2 linked regions of the Schizosaccharomyces pombe genome follow. Changing the gene in region 1 together with any one later gene gives a genetic interaction. Each region holds a gene or a part of one and is shown in the gene's direction. Other genes may lie near its edges. The genes, in order: mto1 and knk1.

Region 1 (12,561 bases):
TTCTTAAGACCCTTGGAAAGAGCACCAAGAGAGTCACGATCAAGATAGTTGGTAGGCTCGTCAAGAACGATGACGTGAGGACGCAACCAGGTACAAGCAGCCAAGACAAGCTTGACCTTTTGTCCACCAGAAAGACCCTTGATACGAGAGTGAGAAACCAACTCAGCATCAAGACCCAAAAGGCTGCAGTGCTCCTCAATCTCCTTACGGACCAAGGGACGGAATTGACCACTCTTCAAGGCCTCAGCACGGTCAACTTCAGCAACCATCTTAGCGTGAGTCTCCATAAGTTCACCACGAGGTAACCAAGCATTGTCGGAAGACATCATAGGAACCCAGCGCTCACTCTTCATGCCAATGTTCTCACCGACGAGGAAAGAGCACTCATACTCATAAGAGTTCTTGAGCTTACGACGGCTGTGGATACCCAAAATCTTACGTTGAGTTCCCTCAATCTTGAAGATCTTGTTCTTCATAGCCTCCTCATCAGCCTCGCTGATGACACGAGAAGCCTTATCCATAGCCTCCAAATCTTCACCAGATTGGAAACGCCATTGGATATATTCTGAGGGAGTCTTATCAGGGTGATGACCCAAGTGAGTGAAAGCGGCTTGGGCAACGTAGGCGATACGGCAGTTCTCGTGTTGGTAAATTTCACCAACAGTGGGCAACAATTCACCAGTAAGAACCTTAATCAAGGTAGATTTACCGGCACCGTTGGGACCAATAACGGCAATACGAGAAGAGAGAGAAACTTGGAAAGAAATGTCGTTCAATTGAGGCTTTGAGGTACCAGGGTATTGGAAAGACATGTGTTGGACCTTGATGATAGCACGTTGCTTGGTCTTAACACCTTCCAAGAAACCGGGTTCAGGGAATTTGAATTCCATTTCGGAGGCACCCAACTCATAGTAGGACTTGGCGGAAGGAACCTTCTTAACGAACTCGGACATGTTACCAAGATACTTACGAAGCTTGAAACGCTCGTAGTGGATAATGGCTTGAACAACGTGGTCCAAGAAACCAGAGTCGTGAGAGACAATGATGGAAGAAACATCCTTTTGGTTAACCAAAAAGTTCTCCAACCAGGCAACATTGACAACGTCAAGATGGTTGGTAGGCTCATCAAGCAAAAGAATATCGGGGTTCTTGAACATAGCACGGGTAAGAGCCAATTTCATCTTCCAACCACCAGAAAGGGAACCGATAGGCATGTTAATGAGTTCATCGGTGAAAGAGTTCTCCTTCAAAGCCTTGACAATTTCATCACGGTCCTTGATGGGGACAGCGGGATCTTGGAGAATGAAATCGACGGAAGGAGTGTCGGCTTCAGACTCGTCGATATCGTGCTCAACGTAGACGGTACGGAGATGAGTAGGGAAACCTTCAACTTGACCGTTGACAATGGCACGCATAAGGGTAGACTTACCGGAACCGTTAGGACCGCAAAGACCATAACGACGACCACGCTTAAGACGGAGACGAGTACGGTTAAGAAGAATCTTGGCACCATAAGCAAGAGAGAACTCACAGTTGCAAAGATCCTCACCCTCCTCTTCCTCCTCAGCATGAGAAGCACCACCAGGAATCTTGGCGATAGAGCGGGTACGGAGTTGCTCAACGATCTTGTGAATGTGGGCCTCGTCAATGAAGGCAGTCAAGTAAGGAGTGATGTTGAGAACCCAGGACTCATTTTCGTTATCCTTCTCTTCAACGAGTTGGGCAGCAATGTTAGCAACGTACTTAGCAATAACCTCCTCGTTGGTGGGGACCTTGATCTCACCGAGAACAGCCTTCAAAGTTTCGAGACAAACTTCAGGGTTGGCGGCGGTAGAAACCTCAGGGATCTTACCGTCAACAACGTTACCAACACGCTCTAAAGTGGTGATGGCACGTTGAACAACGGAACGACATTCAGGGTCACCAATGGTGTCCTTGATGTGGTACAAACCAGGCAAAAGCTTGGGCAAGAAAGGAGCGACGACTTGAGGATCCTCGACAAGCTTGGACATGTTGTCAATAATGACAGCAGTCTTACGCTTAATGGGAGTGGAACGCTCATTCAAACCACGGGCCAACAAGGGGACCATGATAGACAAAGTGGGGGCCTGGACTTCAGTAACGAAAGTAGTGGCACCCAAAGAGTGAATAGTCTCAGGGACCTCCTCGGGGTGAGCAATACAGTTGATAAGCTCAGGAATGAAACGGTCAATATCGGCGTTGGCAATCAAAGTACAGACCTTGGTCATGGTTTCCTTGGATTGCTTCTTAACCTCAGCCTTGGTATCCCACATGGACTCGGAAACAACAGGGATAATTTGAGGAAGGGAGTAGGATAATTGGGAAGGAGCAACCTCAACGAGAACATCCAAAAGTTGCAAAGAGTTCATCTTCTCATTCCACTTACCAGTGGTGTGGATGGACTCGAGAACAGAGGGGACGATGGCCTTGACGGCATAAGGGGTAGTGCAACGGACAATAGCCTTAGAAGCAGCAATGGCAGCATCTCTGACAGCGTTTTGCTTGTCAGCAACCTTGGCGATGACGGCGGGCAACAACTCGACCAAGTAAGGCTCGACATCAGCGGCAACACTACCATGGTTGGCAACGGCCTCAAGACCCTTCAAGACACGCTCACGAGCAGTGGCGTTCTTGTCGTTCAACTGCTTGGAAATAGCAGAGAAAACTTGAGAAGGCGCGTCTTGCTCTTCGATGGGTCCGTTGACAAAAGAAGCCAAAGCCTTGGCAGCATCAGCTTCCTCTGCGGCATCGCAGACAGTAAGGTGCTTCAACAACTCTTCAAGAGCTTTGACTGACTGCTTATTCTCACTCTTTGCAGACATCCCGGGGAAATGGTTGTTGGTAGATGAGCGGAGGTCCTGGTTGTATATGAATGGATTTTCTTAATGAAAATTTTGCAACTAAGAAAATACAGAAGGAGTACTTAAAATAAAATAATAATATGTTTTTATGTATTTAAATCTCATATTTACAATGTGACTGTTCTTTTTCTTTGGTTTTCTTCTTGGTGGTGGCCATAATCCACGGTTTCTTTGGCGGTGTTTAGTGGTTAGCGACGTGGAAAAACTATTAAGCGGCAAAATTAGAAGTCGCTAAATAAAATAACGTGTTTAGTGGCGGCGTCCTTTGTATGACGATATCATTGTAAATGTAAGGCTATATTAAAGATATCACTATAGATAAAGCATGCCATGAACAAATCGACGCGGTCCTTATGTCTCGTTAAACTAATACCACACTGCGTTGTTAAGAACGATTTTTGACGCTGTAACTCTTCTTTTCAACATATGTTGCTTGTAAGCTTTCCGTGGCTAAATGACCTCTGGCAATAATATGGTTTTGGTCGCATAACATGATGCAGTAGCACTAAATGAATTTAGCATAGGGTCGGCATAATCGCATTCAGATAGCTGCTGTCGGACATCATATTTTCAGAGTCAGAACTGTAATGATTGTATATTGGATCGTTATATACCCGCATCATTTATATAAGGTGAATATAGATATATCCTTCATTGAATTTCTATAAGTAAACTCAAATGAACTCCGTTTATGAGTTCATTCGCGAGTTAATTTAAGTGCATTCATAGTAATGTATTACATTATTACAAATATCTTAATACATATTTATAATCATTCATATTGCAATACGCGGGTCATAAAGGTCGCAACTGGGGTATAGTTATTCTGTTATACAGGTTATATTTTTACCTATCACTAATATAGCGTATAACTGATCCTCGTTCTTCATTTCAATTGTGCTTCCATTTGCATTATTCAGATAGTATAGAACTTATTATAATTTCATTAGGAACAATCGTAATATCGTATCATCTATGGTATAATTAGAATATGTAGCATATAGTGATATTCAGCGTTGTGTATCGCAGCGTATGTAATATTGCTGACACCTTAACCGATTTAGCAGAGTACGTAACTGACGAGTTTGAAGCAGTTTTTATGTATTACCATTTTTACTTAATAAAAATTATGTAGAGCGAGTGATGATGCCAAGTTTCTCTTTTATTTTGTAATAATCTATATTAGTAATATTTACATACCTGTCAACTTTTTTTTTCGCAAATTTTTTTAAACAATTTCATGGAATTAATGTTTGAAGAAAACATATCAGATCAATGATCAGCTTGAATAAAAAAAAAAATTGAAAAGAAAAGAAAGTTTTCAACTAGTTGGTTCATTCTAGTAAGTGATGATTGTAATTGATTTAAAAAAAAAAAAAATCCTTCGCTTAATAGAAAGAATGCTTTTCTTTGTTGTATTAAAAAAAATACTGAGTAGTATTAACTTAATTTACTTAGATAAATTAATTTACATATACTTATTTATTTATTATTATTTTTTTTCAGCTGCTCTACATATCTCAAGTTGATGAGTTGTAGAGGACTTTATTTTCGCATTCACTCAATTCAAGTTTCGAACACACTATGCAAATTAAAAATGTTCTCTTAATGAAAAGTATATTTGTTCGTATATTCATAGTTCAATTTACCGTTGCGATTGAAATCATCGAAATGTAGCATCATGTAACACGGTGAAAATAGAGACTGAAACAAATAATTTCAGGCTACATACCAACTATACGTAGGAAAGCAAATTTACGCTTGTTCGTGAAAACCTATGTACTCAAGCATAATCGTAGCGGACTTTAGTGTTTTTAACGTTTATTCCATCAATAATTAATATACTTAGGATTCACAGTGTGAAATGAGGTTAACATACCTTAACTTGAGGAGAGTTAATCTAATGAAAATCATAGTTACGTTTTACATATCATCAATGTATGTACTATTGTTTTGTGTATGTGCCATAGGCATGCCAAATAACATGGCTATTTATAATGTAAACGAGTGTGTGCAAATGTATAATTAATTTCATTAACTTCTTTTGAAAATATCTGCTTCTAACACAAACATTAAACCTTCTAAAATTGTAAAGTCCGCAATTACAAGTCTACTACTTTGTTGATCGTTAGTCTAACATGCGTCAAGTAGAGACAGCCATTGAGAACTACTGCCACTACATATATGCCATAGCGTATCAATAGGCATATCTTCGATCCCATACTTTCTTTTAACAATTAACAATTTAAGAAAGAATTAATTTCTTATTCAAAAATCGCTCCTTTGAAATTGTTACAAGAGTCAATGCCTACTGCTTTGGATTTGCTTATGTCGAAGTTCGTTTTCTAATCAATTATGGAAGAAAATTCCAGTGAGTTAGATAGTAATAACTTTAATGTTCTAGTGGATAATTTAGCTGGTCTTTCGCTGACGGACGAGGAAGTTCGTCGCATTTTATCACCCAGAAAGGAAGGATCTCGGCAATTACCCTCTTCTACATCAAAAGACGAAGATTCGGAAGAAGCTTCTCATAAGTATGATTTTGAAATTGATAGAGATTCTTTAAAATCTGATTCTGGATCACCTCGTCTCCATCAAAATGCTACTGCTCCAACGAGCTCTACTCCGCTTCAATCTCCCGATGAATCAGTCAATAAATTGAATAGCGAGGACGAGGAGGGAAATAGTTCTGTTGCACCTTTTTTTTTGGATACTACGAATTTTGATCGTCTCAATGACAACATTACTACTGATGATGAACAGCTTTCTCCCGTACTTACGGCTAATCAAGGGTTTCAGAGCCAAGAGCAGTATGAAGAAGATAGTTACAATAATTACGATTATACTTCGGACCCTTCAAGTCCGAACTATATCTCTTCTTCTCTAGATCAGTTACCTCATTTGGATGATGAAGATGATTTGCAATTAACCCCAATAAAAGAAGAACGAAATTATTTACATTCTCAAGATGCCCCCACTACCAATGCTTTAAGCAAAAAGATCTCCGATATATTGATACCGGCGTCTGCTATGAAAGACCTAAAAGACAGGAAAAATGCACTTGCCAAAGAGTTTGAGGAATCTCAGCCCGGCTCCTCCTTAACTTTAAAGGAACAAGCAAACGTGATTGATAATTTGAGAAAGGAAGTGTTTGGGTTGAAACTGAAATGCTACTTTCTATACGATCAATTAAATAAATTCCACGATCAGGAGGTTCAAGATATTATGAAGCAAAACATCGATTTGAAGACCCTTACTATGGAGCTTCAACGAGCCGTTGCAGGCTATGAGAAAAAAATATCTGGATTAGAAAGCCGGATTAAGCCTGATCAGTCTTTTAACCTTTCCACCCCCAGCCCGGCCCCTTCAAACCTAATTACTCTTCAATCGAGGTATTCGCAGGCTCTTTCAGAGCTTGAAACTACCAAAAGAGCGTTTGCGGCTTTGAGAAAAGAAAAATCAAAGAAGACGAATTATTCTGTTGGGGCATACAATGAAGATCGTAATGTACTGTCAAATATGCTTGATAACGAACGGCGGGAAAAGGAAGCTCTATTGCAAGAGTTGGAATCCCTTCGCGTACAGTTATCCAAAAAAGTTCCTATGCCTGCAAAAAATACTGATGAGCGTGTTATTGAAACACTTCAGCGTAGTAATGAACTGTTGAGGATGGACATATCTATGCAAAATGAAGCATTACTACTTCGCAAGCAGGAAAATGATCGCCTGGTTAAACAAGTGGAGGAGCTTACCGTTGCTTTGAATTCAGGGAAGATGAATGCGATTGTAGAGGCAGAATCAAGCAAGAATGAATTGTGGGATTCTATGATGGTATCTAGAATGAAAACCCAAGAGCAATCAATTGAACTTACTCGTTTATATAAACAGTTGCAAGATATTGAAGAGGATTATGAAAATAAATTGATGAGAATGGAGCAACAATGGCGGGAAGATGTTGACCAACTCCAGGAATATGTCGAAGAGATTACCCAAGAACTCCAGGATACCAAAGAGGTGCTGTCAAAGTCTTCAAAAGAGTCTGATGATTACGAAGAAGTAGTAGGTAAACTTAGGACTGAAGCAGAGCGTGAAATTGAGAAATTCGAGAAAACAATACGGGAAAATGAGGAGAGTATCTCTTTATTCAAAGAAGAGGTTGAAAAGCTTACTGATGAAATTACCCAATTGTCAGAACGTTATAACGATAAATGCCATGAATTTGACGAATTACAAAAGCGGCTGCAAACTTTGGAAGAAGAAAATAATAAAGCGAAGGAAGATTCAACTTCAAAGACATCAAATCTTCTTGAACAGTTGAAAATGACAGAAGCAGAAGTTGATTCTTTAAGGAAGGAAAATGAAGAAAACAAGCAAGTAATTGCTTTGAAAGAAAGCGAGCTGGTGAAAAGTAACGATAACAAACTTTTACTCAATGAGCAAATTGAGTCGTTAAATGATCAACTTAGTCAGTTAAAAACTGAAATGGAAAGCGTTACAACGAGTAAAGAATCGTTAGCCGATTATCTTAGCAACTTGAAGGAAAGGCACAATGACGAATTAGATTCATTAAATAAAAAACTTCGTGAATTTGAAGGTATATTGTCATCAAACTCTTCTTTAAAAAGTGAGATTGAGGAAAGAAATAATCAATACGTTACCCTTCGCGAAAATTTCGATTCTTTGCAGAATGCTATTATGGAAACATTTGATAAACAGGTCACCCACTGCTCGGTTAACCATTTGGTACAACAGATAAGAAAACTAAAAGATGAGAATAAAAAGGATCAGTCTGGTACTGATAAGTTGATGAAAAAAATCTACCATTGTGAGCAAAGTTTAAAAGAAAAAACAAACTCTTTGGAGACGTTAGTGTCTGAAAAGAAGGAGTTAAAGAACTTACTGGATGCGGAAAGACGATCCAAAAAAGCAATCCAATTAGAGTTGGAAAATTTGTCTTCACAAGCTTTCAGAAGAAACCTCTCTGGATCTTCCAGTCCTTCTGAAAGGAGTCAATCTAGAGAACTTAAACTTTTACAAGCATCTGAAAAACGCCTTAAAGAGCAAGTGGAAGAAAGAAATTCCCTCATAAAAAACATTGTCACTCGTTTTACCCAACTGAATACGGGAAGTAAGCCTGTAAATACCAACGTTGAAGCATTGACGACAATTTCAAGCATGAATCAGGCAGTAAATATGAATTTTAGGGAGTTGGACAAATCCATTCAAGAATTCAAACGGAAGTGTCAATCAATGGAGCGGGAATTTAAGACCGAACTCAGGAAGCTTGATGGTGTACTTGAGGCTAGAAGTAAGCGTTTATCACAGTTGGAAGAACGAGTGAAACTTTTAGGCGCTGGGTCAACTTCATCTATTCCAAATTCGCCAAGGGCTTCAAAACGCGTTAGTTTGGATTCCGAGGATAAAAAGCTTGTTCCCGCTTCTCCAGATAAGTCAGCAGTTCAAAGAGGTATCACAGCTTTGAAACGAGATGCTGAAGGAATGAGCCATATATGGCAGTTGAGACTAAGAGAGATGGAGTTTCAACTCAAGGCTGAGCAAGAAGGTCGTAAAAGAGACAAGTTGGGTGCCAGAGAAAGGCTTCAAGATTTGATTCGACAAAACAGGAGTCTTTCAAGGCAAATAAAAACGGATAAAGAAAGCAATTCTAGGTCTCCTTCTATATCATCACAAGAACATAAATAATAATCTGGATAGTTTGCGGTTGAAGTATATAGCTTTTCTTAATCACCAGTACATATCTACTTAGTTGGAGAATTTAATTGACAAAATAAGCTAATTCCAAGATTTATATTTATTTTTTATTTTTTTTTGTTCTCGATTAACCATTTTGGTGTTTGTATCTCCCTGATTATAAAGGAAATAATCACACATATTCGTAAAAAAAATTTATTTTAATCGCGCAAAAGAATTCGAAATATAATTTTTTATTTAACCTTTTTTAAGTAAATTTTACTGCGCATGTATCATCTTTGTAAAAATTCCCAGAACCCGGTGTTTGTTTACATTTGCTGGGAGAATCGAGTTTTATTCAGGCACAACGTGTACTCAAAATAAATTTCAAAATTGAGCTCACATAAACTTGAATAGGAGCAAAAAAAGGAAAGAATCCATTGCATGGAAAAAGCAATTCACTTGGGACAATTTTATAGAACGATTCCACAAACATAGAATGGACCTACTGGGCCTTAAAGAATTAGACAATAACAAACTAGTATCAAAGGCAAAAGAAAATGGAGTCGAATTTTCTGATTTATTTTTACTATCAAGCGGCTATTTACGAGACAGGGAAAATGCGTCAGCAAGTGTGTCTTCGAAAAATGAACGCATGGTGCTCAACGAAGAAAGACAAAATTGCTGGACGAAAAGAAATGATCCTAAAGGTTTAACTTACTACCAATTACTAAAGCCCAGTGAAGTTGAAATACTTAGTCGACCCGAGACAAGAAGAAAGCGGATGGCCTGTCAAGTTTTCTTCCTCAATTACTATATTAGCACAATTGAGTACCATAAACTAAGGAAGGAAAGATTGGAAGAATTTACAGCGTGTACATCGTCATTAAAACAATCTAAACAGAAGCGACTATGGAAAGAGCATTGTGGAAGGGAAAGAGCATTTTTGAGAAAAAAAAGAACCAAGATTCAATGTAGCCATTTCGATTTATTAGTAAAGCTTGGACAAGGAGGATATGGTTCTGTGTGGCTTGCTAAAAAGCGCAACACACACGAATTGTTAGCAATGAAAATGATGAAAAAATCAACATTACAGCAACTTAATGAAGTAAGAAGACACTATTAAAGATCTTAAAAGAAAACTAACAACGGCTCAGGTGAAACACATATTGAATGAAAGAGATATACTAACGAATACTAATTCCGAATGGCTTGTAAAACTGTATTATGCCTTTCAAGATAAGGAAAAAGTATATCTAGCAATGGAATACGTCCCTGGAGGAGATTTTCGAACTTTTTTGACTACCAAGGGGCTTTTGCATGAAAATCAAACCCGATTTTACCTAGCAGAAATGGTCGCTGCAATCAGTGCAGTCCACAAACTAGGTTATATGCATCGTGATTTAAAGCCCGAGAACTTTTTAATTGATCAAAAGGGACATATCAAGCTTAGTGACTTTGGGCTAAGTACTGCAATTGTTACATCGAATCAGGTAAATCGACTTCAACATGCACTAGTGAGCGCGGTTAATCCTCAGAGACCTTATTTAACACAAAAGCAAAGAAGAAACATTTATAAAGCGCTTTTGGAAAAGAATGAGAACAAGGTAAAGACATTTTGATTCAAACGTAAACTAAAAAAAAATTAGGTAAATTCCGTTGTTGGATCTCCTGAATACATGGCTCCAGAAGTTGTTTACGGAAAGAAATACGATAGGACCGTAGACTACTGGTCACTTGGCTGCATATGTTATGAATGTCTGGTAGGATATCCTCCCTTTTCTGGGTCAACGCTCCAAGAAACGTGGACTAATCTATACTACTGGCGAGAAATGTTGCAGAGACCCTCCAAAAATGAAAATGGAATTTACGACAAAAAAGCGAGATCGGTTTCAGACGAGGCATGGTCTTTCATCACCAAGTGTCTAACAGAACCAACGTCAAGATTTCAAAGCACAATCGAAATCCAAAAGCATCCATTTTTTAAGAGACTCCATTGGAACGGTTTGCGGAAAAGAGCTGTGCCACCATTTGTTCCCCGCTTGGAGAATCAACTTGATACTTCCTATTTTGATGATTTCAATGACGAACAGGTACTAGATGCGTACAAAGATGTGTACGAAAAGCAAAGGAAGGCAGAGCAAAAAGCAAAAAGCAATGGAGTTATGAACGGTAATCAAAGACAATTTCTTGGTTTCACCTTCAAGTATCGACCCAACGCAAGAAAGCCACTGGTGGGTCGGCATCGTGAAAAGCGACAACTTCGCAAAGAGAAACCGGAGAAGAAAAATAATAGCACTAAACAAAAGGATTTAATCACCGTTAGTCATAACAAAGGCACCACTGCTATTGAGGACCTGGATGAGGACAAGCGATCAAAAACAAAGGGTCACAAAACTAAGTCATCAAGAGTCCATCGGCTTCTGGAAAGAAAAGGCAAAGACCTGTATGAATTTTTGCTCTAAATCCAGATAATAACGCATCAATTACCATTGAGAAACGCCGAAAAGTCTCGTTATTGCGACATGAAAAGCGTTCTGAGCCACAGCATATTCGGAATCGATGAGCCAAGCAGCGTATTCCGCTCGAAACTAATCAGCATATTTCTCCATAAAAGGGAGATATGAATATTAATTATAAGTAAATAGTTAATTCTTGACTGTTTAGAGAGAACTGCATCCTTAATCCAGCTGAAAACCCACTAAAATTTTGAAAATTCTACTGTAAACGTATCTTTCTTGTAGGTAGATCAACCTGTACGCTTAAAAGTAGTTTATATTCAAATAAACTTTTAAGTCCGACGATATAACGTCGCTTCGTTAGCTTCATGACGTGACCCTCGGATCGAGTCATCAGTTTGACAGATAAATTTTTACCCTTCACCTATATCCAGTTGCAGCCTTGAATTCAATTTTCATTCCTCGCTCTTTGAAAGTGAAATAGAAGATAGAAGGCATTATAACCATTAAAGCCATAGAAATGCTAGTTAGCAATGGCGGCACTGGGAGTGCTCACGAGTGGGACAGAACGACAATTGATTATGATATCGAGCCTAGCTCAGACACCCATGCCATTGAAATTAGCTCTAACGATGATTATCTTCATCCTTTGGCTCAGTTTAAGAAATCGGAAGAGTTTGACGAAGTACCTACCAATACCCTGATTCATGAAGTACCGTCATTTTCCGATTCTGCATCGAATATTCAGTCACAGCGAAATCTTAGCCCCTTCAAAGAGCTCGAAATAGTGTCGAAAAAAAAATCGGAACAGACGTTTTCATCTGCCGTGGATTTTTCCGCTATCAACGTGAAAAATTTAAATTTAAAGAGTGGTCTTTTCGATCCTGAACCGCCATCTTACGATCCAGATTATGCATTCAATCAACGCTCTTTGCAATCCGATCCCGGTTCCGATGAAATGTTCCGCAACTTCAAAAAAAGCATTAGCTTGGAGGAGTTGAAAAGTTCATACAAGTTAGCCAGTGCTGAGATGTGTGAACCAGAAACTAGACTTTCTTTTTTGCAACTTGCTCTTCAAGCGGAAAAATCCTCTAGTCGCCGCAACAGAGAGTATGTTGCTAGGAAAAAAGAGGAGGCTTTTGATTATTTGACTTCGTTTGTATCTCAAGGAAATTCTTTTTTTGGCTATTCAGAAGCACTTTATCTGTTGGCTGTATGCTATGGAACCGGTGCATTGAGAACGGAAATTAATGAGAAGGAAGCATATCGACTGTATAAAATGGCGGCCGACTTGAATCACGTGCAGGCTGCCTATAGGGTTGCCATATGTCTGCAGATGGGATTTGGTGTGACCCAGAACACTGAAGAAGCTATTCATTATTTCTTTAGAGCAGCGTCTGGACAACACGTTGGTGCCATGCATAGAATGGCCCTCATCTATTTCCGTGGTTTGATGTCAGTTAAGCGTGATCCAGTGAAAGCTATGTACTATTTGAATTTGGGAGCTCTTGAGGCTGATCATGAATTTC
Region 2 (11,740 bases), on another chromosome or scaffold:
CGGAATTGGCAATAGTACTTTCAGAAGAAGCGACACTGCTGCCTTCAGTAGTTGTAGAGCTTTCAGTTTGAGTAATGATACTTGGAGTAGATTGTTCAACTGATGGCGAAGATAAAATTGTTGAAGAAGCAGAAGTATACGCTGTCGCTATTACGGAAGACGAAACGTTGGTATAGGAGAATGAAGCGGTCGCTGCGCGTTTACCTACTTTGACTGTTGATGATATCGTTGGATAGCGATTAAAACCTTTATAATGTGAAGTGTTTATGACATTAGTGGACGGGATTAAACGAATGGTATTAAAGGATAATATGCTCGTACTGTCCGTATTGGAGGGTTCTGGGAAGCCGTTATATCTTATGTCTGTGTATGGAAAAAAAAGAGATGCTTCCCGGTCATTAGCGTGAGCATGGGATAAAGTAGGTAAAAACAATTCATTAGTCCCAGCTGAAACTGAGGTGATATTAATAGTATTAATTTGGTTATTAACGTCCAAAGAGCAATCAACAGGAGAACTCACTGAATGTATTATGCTAGTTGAAGAATATGATTGCGAAAGATTAGCGAAAAAAGATCCAGTATGCGAAATATTACTTTTCAATTTCAGGCTTTCCTCGAAAGTCTGAAAAGGAAGAGCACTTGATATTGGAATTAACAAAAATATACAAAGGGTTATTAAAATCGGTGAAGTTTTTTCGACCATTCTTAGACACCATTAAAGTTGGCACAGATCGGTTGATCCTTTGATTAGGCAAGAAAGTTTGTTTTCAAAATATATTCATGAAACCGATTGGCGACGACGAACAACAAAGAGTAAATACAAACGATCAAATACGTGTAATGGGTGAATGTTCGCTAAGTATAACTCTTTGTATATATCAGATCTCAAGCGAAATCCCTGAGCAATGTGGGAGCTGAAATGAGCTTAGAATTTACCGAAATAAGGAACAGAGAATACCAATGAGTTAATCTGCTCAGAGCAGTGAATATCTAAATATAGAAAATGAATGAAGTTTAAGCTGATTAAAGGTATCACTATGATCCAAGCGACAGAATAAATGGCCAAGTTAAACTGGAGTATTCTACACTCAAAAGCCAACTCTCCCAAAAAAAGAAACGCCAAAAAAAAATAAATCACCCAGGAAAATTATACACTTTTCTATTTAAAAAAACATAGTTTTGAGCCAGCCTCATCATTGATTTCCATTATGTCCCGACGGAACAAGTTGACAATGTATCGCTACAACTACGGCCTAGAAGCCCATGAAGATCTGAAACATCACCGGTAAGAATCGGCTATAACGAAGCATGTAATATGCTTACAGAATATAGGCCGATTATCTTGCAATATCGCATGAGTAAATCAGAAGAGATAAAACATATTGGATAAATGTTGGGAGTAGCAATCATCCATCGAACATATTCCCTTACGACAAAGCGTAGCAATAATTTGATTAAACAAGCTTAAGTGACTCTGGCATCTCACAATAATACCAAAATCCAAAGCGTTTATATGAGAGAGATAAATTTTTAGTTTATGAGCAAGTTTAACTGCTTAAAGCTTAACCCGTTCCAAAAATTTTGGATAGACGATTAAGCGGATGTGGGCTTCTAGAATAAAACATTGACCCTTTACGGATACAGGATTCATTTAAGAAGTTTTTTATCAGCGTGTTTTAAACTTTGTAATTGTATTGCGGATGTTTGAATTTTCGAGATTAGTTATTTATTATGTTTAATATGTTTAATTATGAGCACAAAATTCACATACATGTATATTGAATTAAACTGACATTCAAAAAGGTTTGCTATTAGATGGTTCTGTTAATGGAAAAAATATAATTAGTAGGTAACCACTGACATTGTTACTTGAGCTCTTCTTGAAAGCACTGTACCTACATTAGTATATCAAAGTGTACCAAATTATGGTAAATAAAAAAAATATACATTCGTCCGTACTTTTTACTCTAATGACATTGCATGATGATCAATAAAATCTATTTTTTTAAGGATTTTTTAAACCCATTTAAACTTCATTGTGGTAACAAAGGGCTTTAAACTAGCAACAGGATGCAATTCACGATTATATTATTAATAATAATATTAATTATTTGAACCAAAAACTGGATCTATATATTGTTAAGTATTTCCGATAGTCAATTATTTACTAATTTGAAATTTATTCATTTTCTTGCACTTTTGAGGCATCAGATATATGTTAACATAGTAATTACGATCATCATCTAATAGTCAAATTACTGTTGTTTGACTGAGGTGTACAATGTTCATTAATACATCCAAACTTTTAGCTTTTGCTATGGTTTATTCAAAAAGAAGGTCGTTATATATATTGTTATAGGGGTACTAAACAAAAGGAAACGTTGATACTAACGAAAGTTCATTCGAGCATTGGGGAAAGAAGGAAGGCCCTGTAGTTTTGGTAAGTTTAAAAGCTCAACGCTCAACGTTTATAGGCTATCAAAAAGGTATAGTAAAAGAATACAGGTGAAAATAATTTTGCAGTCCAGGGAAAGCACAGCAAGCTACCGGATAAAATCTGATTCCTAATTTTAGATCTGACAAAAAGTATTACCATAGTTATGCAGCCTTTTTCACCAGATATAAGTAATGGACAAACTTACATGATAGTTGTTATAACGTAAACAGAAAATTGGAGCCAAAATCAGCATCTGACATTTGAGCAGCGAGATCACAAAGACTATAACACTAGTCAAGAATAGTTATTACGAAGTGCTTGGTTTATTTATTGAAGTCCAATTTTTATAGACAGTATCATTAGTGGCTTGCAATGTCGTTATAAAATCATTGCATTCGTTGGCAGTTGTCGTTCACTTTGTAATAACCTGAAATCATTTATGGAAGAAAAACCAATCAAGGCAGCGCATATTAGTAATATTTTCACTGCTCTATTAAGAGCGGTAATTCAACTCGGTCTACCAAAGTCGTATATATAATTAAACCTAATTGTTTTAAATTTTTCGAGAATAAGAAAAAGAGGCCTTTATCTAATAGTTAAAGATGCAGCGTACTAAACTCGTCACTTCTTTCTCGTTATTACTTTATCAGCCAACGCAAAAAGTGCCTTCCTTGCAGGTGAATCAGGGAGACACAGAAGGGAATCTTTGGCTTTTTTGATATATTCTTTTGCCCAAGTGATGGTTTGCTCGATAGCATCAGTGCACTCAACCAAAGAACGAGCCTAAATTATATGTTAGCAATTGAAAATTAACGATAGAGAAAAGGAAATCAAATAAATAAATAAAACTTCAGCTTCTCTTACCCGTTGGATATCAGAAGGATGATTGAATCTATTCACAATCATTGCACCAAGTTCTGGATACTTTTTCCATGCAAAGAGGACGGGAGCTGTAGCCAACCCTAGCTTCAAATCTGCACCAGCCGCCTTTCCTAAAGTATCATCTTTCGACGTATAGTCCAACACGTCATCCATTAGTTGAAAAGCAGTACCAATGCATCGACCGTATTCTCCAGCAGCTGTTGCTACAGTAGGAGAACATTGTCCGAGGATTGTAGAAGCCTTGCAGCTTTTGGAAATTAAACTGGCTGTTTTCAAAAAACTTTTTTCAATATAATAGTCAAAATTTGATTGTTTTATTTCCAAAGATGAAGGATCCATAGTATTTTTTAGCTGCAAAAACTCACCTCGAACCAAGTCTGCTATCACTGTAGCTAACAACTCCGTAACTTGGGGATTTCGAAGGCGGGCCATAGCAGTCGAAGCCCGTGCAAGGATGAAATTACCCGCAAGGATTGACCGTCGATTACCGAAAGCAACATTGCTTGAAGGTGAGCCTCTACGGACATTAGCGTGATCAATCACATCGTCATGCAGCAAACTTGCTATATGGATCATCTCGGTTATTTGTGCTAATCTCAATTGAGAAGGAAGAATTTGACCCGTCGAAAATGATCTTAAATCATCATCATCAATATATTTGTCGCCCACTACGGACCGATCAATACCATGGCACAAGCTTGTAGCTTTGGACATCAGCAAAACAAGAGAAGGACGCATTTGTTTTCCTTGAGCAATGGTATAATATTTAGAACACTCTTCAAGAAATTCTGAATTTGAATTCAGCATTTGACGAATCCCTGGTGAGATTTGTTCCAACTCGTTTTTAATTAAATGTGAAGCATTGCGGTTCGTAGTAGAAAACCGAAGAACAGTCGAACGGACTTTTCCAAGACTCCATAATTTCCTCATATGTTTTAAATATACATACTGAATCATTTCATTTCTTATTTTCAAAAGTAACTAAATGATGAAGTTAGAGTTGGGATGGTTTGTATATCATGGTATTTACCGTGATTTCGCTTAGATATGACGTCGCTTTGATCAGATAAGTTTATTTCAAAGAACGGAAGAATCATTAAATAGTTTGTAAACAAACAAAACATTTTTTAATTATCGTTTTTTCTTCATACCATTCTGATCTTAAGTATTTTTTCTGAAGAATTCTGTTGAGTCAAGCAGGATATTGAGCATCTTCCTCAGAGGCCAAATTCATTATCAAAACTTACAACAGCTTATACATCAAATCAGTTAACAATAAAATTCACAGATCTATTTGCATATGCATCTCTCCCGTGTATCATTTTTTATACGACACAATAATCAAAACAATTTATACTTCCAAATTGCTTCAATATTCGATGGGAGAAGTGCTACTTGGTTGAATACTCAAAAGCAGAATATTTAGATAAGTAAATGAATCTTATACTACAACTAATTTTTTTTTGGCGAAGTTAATATAACAGCTTCAGGGAATCCTCTATATGTGTTGATCTTCCAAGAGTTTCTCATCTTACTTGAACAATTATTGGTTCTAGGAATTTACGAATACATTGTTGATATTTTTTAGGTATTTTAATAGCTTTGTAACACTGCTTTAACAACATAAACATTTCTAAATGGTTTGACATGCGTGAAATTTTAATTGATCAGAAATTGCTTAAAAGCATTTTTACAAGTTTTAGTATTTGTAGGATCATTTAATAAAAATAAATTACGTACTTTTCTAGTCTACAAAACGATTCGCCTGCTAAGATTATTGTCATTGTAGTACAAAACGTTACATTCATATTTGTTTTATCACATTTTGACTTTTGAAGGCTTTTAACGATTAGGCGCCCGACTTTTTTCACCATTCACTTCAAGAATTTAAAAAATAAAAAATTTATCAACATTAAGTGCCATCCCGTTCCTTTCAGACATAGCTGATCTGTTTACATCTCCCGGGCCTCAAGTATTCTTAAAAAAAGCTCTATTTGAGCGTTAAGTTCAACTAGAGAAATTTTTTTTAGAATTTGTAGGTATATCAAAAGATACTTAAATTTTCGCAAATTTGTTCTCATCGAAAACCGCTTGGCTTCTGTTTTTCAGCCAGTCGAAGGCGCTCGATTTTAAAGTGCTCTCTAATCCACACTACTAGCATAGCGATGAAATGATTAATATCGTTAATAATACGTTTTTTGTTGTAAACAAATTTCCGGATTTGCGAATTAGCGGGAAAAAAAAAAGAGTGTGAAAGAAAGATATTTACTCATCTATTGAATCTATGAATAAAATGATTTTCTCCAATACGAATTCCTTATCAAATAGCTTTTGAAGAGATGAAAGAAAACCAGTGGCTGAAAAGTAACAGCGTTACTTCGAACATTCTATGGGATTTTTAACGACAAGACAGCACTTTTGACATTTGAACTTGCCAAAAGCAAAAAAGCCATTGACGAGTCGACTGCGGAAAATGGACTCAGACTTGGATAGAATACTACCGATAGCATCAAGAGCATTATTGTGTGAAGGAAATAGGGATTGGGCTGGTGCGTATGTGAGTTACTGCAAGGTTTTAGAGGAGATGAAGAAGTCGTCGGCAGCTCGCGATCGCATGGGATTGGGACCTTTGACGGGCGCAGAGGCATGTTCTTGGAACGGGCTCTATGACAACTGTTTGAGCAAGGCAAGCAAGCTGCGTAAGACGATTTTGGAAAGTGAAATGGAAAGGCAAAATTATCAACTTGCAGCCAAACTTTCAAAGAAGGCGCCCGTTGATCTTCACCCCTTACGTCCAGTAAGATCTCAAACACCTGCGTATACCCCCATGACTACTAGGATGATGTACAGACAGACGAGAGGTGCGCAGTCGGAGGTAAATTTATCTACGCCTAAGCAAATATATTCCAAGCATTCGCCTCCTTCTACCTCCACTTCATCCATTGTTTCTTCTTCCTATGGAGATGCACCTTCTTATCTGGCACCCTCTAAGCCAAACCGTTCTCCACCCCTCAAACCCGAAGATCCCTTTGCCTCTTTCAATTCTTCTGCTTCGGCCATTGCTGCTGCTTCTAAGAGTGCTGCCGCTTCTGCTTCTGCTCTTTCTTCTGATACAGGTCGTTCTGCTACCATGAATTCCACCACTTTTCCTACCGCTATGAAAAGTCAGTCTACGACTAAACCGACGCTTTCCAATTCGGTATCTAGCCCTTCTATTCAGGTGTCAAACAATCAAAATGCTAACAATAGCACTCCCCTCTCCTTCCATGCGCCAATTCCTCCACTCCATGTTCCTGCCGTCCCCCTTACGTCTGCATCGCATTCATCCAGCGATGGAAAATCGCGCAAGCATCCTAGCCCATATAAACCATACTTAAACTCTTCTCATGATACCCTTGGTTCTTCCACTCGACCGTCTTCCGCTGACACAGCCGGATCACCTGCTACATCTCCTCCGGCAACCGCTGATTCTAAGACAATTGTGTCAAAAACTATCTCAGCTAGTACTACTCAACAAACTGAACCTCTTCAACAGACCACTCCTTCAAGTGATTTTGAATATGCTATTATGAATGAAATTATTTCTAACCATGAACCTGTCTACTGGTCGGACATTGCCGGATTAGATGACGCTAAAAATTCCTTGAAAGAGGCAGTCATTTATCCGTTTTTACGCCCGGAACTTTTCCAAGGATTGCGTGAACCCGTACAAGGCATGCTTCTTTTTGGCCCCCCTGGCACCGGCAAAACCATGCTTGCTCGTGCTGTTGCGACCGAAGCGAAAGCCACATTTTTTTCGATTTCGGCTTCATCATTAACCTCGAAATATGTAAGCAAGTTTTATATTTAACCCCATTCTTAACTAACCTTGATTTAGCTTGGTGATTCTGAAAAGTTGGTTCGAGCCCTTTTTGAAGTTGCGAAGCGCCAGACATGTAGCGTTATCTTTGTTGATGAAATTGATTCCATTCTTTCCGCTCGTAATGACAGCGGTAATGAGCACGAGAGCTCTCGTAGATTAAAAACAGAATTTTTAATTCAATGGTCTTCGTTAACTAATGCGGCTCCGGACAAGCAAACTGGTCACTCTCCCCGTGTTTTGGTGCTGGCAGCTACAAATCTTCCGTGGTGTATTGATGAGGCTGCTCGACGCCGATTCGTTAAAAGAACCTATATTCCGTTACCTGAAAAAGAAACAAGATATAAACATCTTTCTCATTTGCTTCATAATCAAGTACACTGTTTGACGGAGGAGGATCTGGAAGAACTTGTCAATCTTACCGAAGGTATGTATATAAATAATTCGATTGGTTAGTTAACTAACGCCATCTAGGTTATTCAGGCTCTGATATCACTGCTTTAGCCAAAGACGCAGCAATGGGTCCTTTAAGAAACTTGGGTGATGCTCTACTTACCACCAGTGCAGAGATGATACCTCCGATCAGCTTGAATCATTTTAAAGCTAGCCTTCGTACTATTCGTCCAAGTGTCTCACAAGAGGGTATTCATCGTTACGAAGAGTGGAATAAACAATTTGGTTCGCAACGTTAAAACAACTTTGTAGAGTATTCTACCTTTAATATTTTCAAGAAATCATATATTCTTTTGCATCAAAAAGGCAGGGTATCCTTTAATTTATTCAAACTTCCTTTCTCTCTTTTTAATTTTATCCTTTAATGTTTCTTAACGAATCATTTGGGTATCGTTTTTCTGGATATTATGAGAATTACCGTGCATTTAGGGATTGAATCGTGGATGCTGATTTTCATGTGGTTTCAATAACTTTCTTTTGCATAAACTTGGCTTATTACGAATTTTAATTTCTGTTTACCTTCATTTTATTTTCGTCTTTCCTACAACAACTAAAATGTATTCGTGATTTGACTATCGCTATAAACGACATTTTAAATCATAGCCGACTTGACAGCGCCTTTTACAAATGCTCCCCTTTTGTATTTTCCATCAATTCTCTTTATTTTATTTTTTCCATTTATCGTCATATTTATTTCGTTTACATACAGCCTCAACCTATTGGGCTACTTTTTTTCCCTTCACTATTCTCCAATTTTGAACAATAATTATTAGTTATTTAATGTTTGGAAAAGGGTATTGCTTTACTTGAATCGCATTTTTACGGCAATTAACTTATAGCTTTTATTGAAATAACATTTCAACCTCTTGTTTGTATACTGAATTAAATGTTTTAAAATTTATTTAAAGGTCATAATAGTAGCGTTTAAAGCATTGCAGGTTGAAAATGAAATCATGAATATATAGAAATTGGATTTCAGTATTCGATATTGTCACCTTTGTTACTTCTGGGAGTGGGTGTTTCTCACCGAATGGGTTTGACTTGACATGATTATTGAACCACTGCTTTATATATGTAAACGTGTTTTTGACCTTAGGACGTTTACCACCTTTAAAAGAGCTACATAAAGAGCGGAATTATACAATAGTACCGAATGGTTCCAAAGTTGTTTCAATCGAGCCGTTTTAAGGCATTTAAAAAAAGCGAAACAAGTGAATTACAAAAGGGACTAGTTTCTCAGTATGCCTACGAGAGAATTGATGCTGTGAAACGGACTATTGCCGCAATGACTGTTGGCAAGGATGTGTCTAGTCTGTTTCCCGATGTTTTAAAGAACCTAGCTACTCGCGATATCACCTTGAAAAAACTGGTTTATTTATATCTAATTAACTATGCCAAAACACACCCTGATCTTTGTATTTTAGCCGTTAATACTTTTGTAAAGGATTCTGAGGAATATAATCCTACTTTACGAGCTCTGGCAATTAGAACTATGGGTTGCATTCGGGTAAATAAAATCATTGGCTATTTGGCAGATCCGTTGCGAAAAGCTTTGAAGGATGAGCATCCCTATGTTCGTAAGGCTGCAGCGGTTTGTGTTGTAAAGATGTATGACCTTGATCGAGAATACTGTGCATCAAATGGTTTCATCGAACAATTGCAGGCGTTGGTATCTGATCCGAATCCTGTGGTTGTGGCTAATGCAGTCCGCTCACTTGCTGAAATTCATGATCAGGACCCTGAAAAGGGATATTTTAATGTAGTTTACACGATGACAGACAGGCTAATGGTTGCTTTGAGTGAGTGTAATGAGTGGGGTCGGATTACTATTTTGAATTCTTTAGCTAGATTTCGCACTTCTGATATCAAGGAAGCTGAATATGTTTGTGAAAGGGTGGTTCCTCAATTCCAACATGCAAATAGTGGTGTCGTTTTGTCCGCTGTGAAAGTCATAATGGTACATATCCCTCTCTTTTCCAGTGACTTTACAGACTTTCTGTACAAAAAAATGGCTCCTCCTCTTTTGACGCTACTTTCTACGGACTCAGAAATCCAGTATGTAGCCTTACGGAACATTAATTTAATATTACAAAAGAGGCCTTCTATTTTTGATGTCAAAACTCGGGTTTTTTTCTGCAAATATAATGATCCTCTTTATATTAAAATGGAGAAACTAAAGATAATTACAATGCTTGCATGTGACGAAAACATTAACGAGACCATTTCCGAGCTTCGAGCGTACGTTTCCGAAGTTGAACTAGAATTTGTGAAACAAACGATTAAATGCCTTGGAGACGTTGCATTGAAAGTTCCAAGCGTCATCAATGATTGCATCTCCATATTTCTTGAAATCTATGAGTTAAATATTAGTTATATGGTTCAAGAAGTCACGGTGGTGATGGAAACGGTTTTGCGCAAATACCCTCAAAAGATTGACTTATTACTTCCATATCTTTCTCGTGTCATTGAGGAGCTTGGTGACCCTAGAGCCCGTAGTAGTATGGCTTGGATTTTAGGGGAATTTTCACACGTTATACCTACTTCTTCTAAACTATTATCCGAAATGATTTCTACTATGGCGGATGAAGATTTACAGATTCAATTGGCTTTACTGACGGCTGTTGTAAAATTGAGTTTGATGAACGGCAAAGGAAACGATGAAGAACTCGTACAGAAAGTATTAAATTATGCAATTAATCAATCAAGCAATCAGGATTTAAGGGATCGTGCCTTTGCATATCAGCGGTTGTTGACACCTGAAAATGTTCGTAAAGCTCAAAAAATTGTTTGTTGCGAAAAGCCTTCCGTATCTTATAATAACAATCTACCTGAGGCACTTTTGGATGCTCTGTTGTGTGAAATCACAACTCTTGCTTCTGTATACCATAAATTACCGGAATCCTTTATTGGCCAGGGCAAGTTTGGCGCAGACGCAATACAGCGTCGAGCTGTTGAAGAATTGAACATTGAAGAAGCCAATGTTCATGAAGCTATTGAAAAAGGAGCCAACGTTGAAAATTTGCTTGACCTTGATTTTACTGATCCAGGCGCAACGTCTGCCAGTGATTCTCCAATAACCAGCGCACAACCTCAGTCGGGCTCAAATAGTGCAATGGATTTGTTCATGGCTTTTGAGGCACCGAGCACAAATAACGCTGAACCTGTAAAGGCTAGATCGGCAACAGATGATCTGTTAGGGCTTTAAAGATAAACGACAGATGAGTGGCATGATAGATGATGATTTGTTTTATTAATATTTATCTCGTTTCGTTTGTCTAATGGGAAAAACGGGATAAGGTTGATTGATGCACATCTAGTTTATGAAGATATGTTTCAATTGTTGTTTTTTCCCAAATCAGAAAGTCAATTTTAACATAGAAAGCATGTTCTTCTTTCGTTTTTATAAATAAATAAAAAAATATTTGTTAAAATGGATGCGAAGCAAAAATAGGGACTGCTCATTGCAGTAATCATTATCACTGAGGTGCTATCACGAGTGGTACAGATTGTAATGTTAATTATAGGCGTTTTTTAATCTGTACGAATGTAATGATTATCCCTGGCGATATTCGTTTTTGAATTCATTCCAATATATATATATATATATATATACATACATACGTAAGTGAGATGAAAATGTTAAGGAGATTTATGGGTGCTTTAGGCACGTACGGAGAAGCTTTTGATATGCTTTCCTGGAATCACCACTAAACCCAAAGCTCTAGAGAAGCCTGATTTCATTATATTAGTTTTGACGAAATTGGTGAAAAACAGAAAGAGGTACTAGCTGGAACGTTTGTTTTCAATTTAAACAGTAACCCAGCGAAAGTTTACTTGAATTTGAGGGACGCGCTATTCATGAACACATATCAATCTTACCTTTGTTGTATTCTGTGGTATTTGAGAGAATGGCAGCGCCTTCTCTGTCAGTGCACAAGAACTTTCCGATGAATTTTCTCTCATCAAAAATTTCAATATGAACTGACCGATTGAGCCAGCTGGTCAGTAAAATCTCTCCATTTTCCATGATCAAGGAAAATTCATCAAGCTTGGGGGAAGTGAAATCAATAGCAGTGGATATACATACTCTGAAAATACTAAACATTAAC

The links.
Region 2: of mto1 (region 1) and knk1, changing one enhances a phenotype caused by changing the other (phenotypic enhancement), as found in Schizosaccharomyces pombe (one study listed by BioGRID).

Annotation. Positions count from the first base shown.
Region 1 is NC_003421.2:1,675,948-1,688,508, reverse strand, and holds mto1 (gamma tubulin complex linker Mto1), read left to right. Parts: upstream 1-5,237; coding exon 5,238-8,585; 3' UTR 8,586-8,748; downstream 8,749-12,561. Other genes in the region: tef3 (translation elongation factor eEF3), read right to left, coding at 1-2,843; mug27 (protein kinase Mug27/Slk1), read left to right, coding at 9,073-9,681, 9,731-10,180, 10,223-11,038; cfh2 (chitin synthase regulatory factor), read left to right, coding at 11,553-12,561. UniProt on the Schizosaccharomyces pombe protein: Spindle pole body (SPB) component that acts as the gamma-tubulin complex-binding protein of the SPB outer plaque.
Region 2 is NC_003423.3:676,679-688,418, reverse strand, and holds knk1 (AAA family ATPase), read left to right. Parts: upstream 1-5,752; 5' UTR 5,753-5,792; coding exon 5,793-7,148; intron 7,149-7,180; exon of another isoform or gene 7,181-7,196; coding exon 7,197-7,605; intron 7,606-7,652; coding exon 7,653-7,870; 3' UTR 7,871-8,516; downstream 8,517-11,740. Other genes in the region: SPOM_SPBPJ4664.02 (glycoprotein), read right to left, coding at 1-703; decaprenyl diphosphate synthase subunit Dps1, read right to left, coding at 3,059-3,220, 3,302-4,276; AP-1 adaptor complex beta subunit Apl2, read left to right, coding at 8,785-10,836; putative NatC N-acetyltransferase non-catalytic subunit Naa38, read right to left, coding at 11,292-11,362, 11,511-11,658.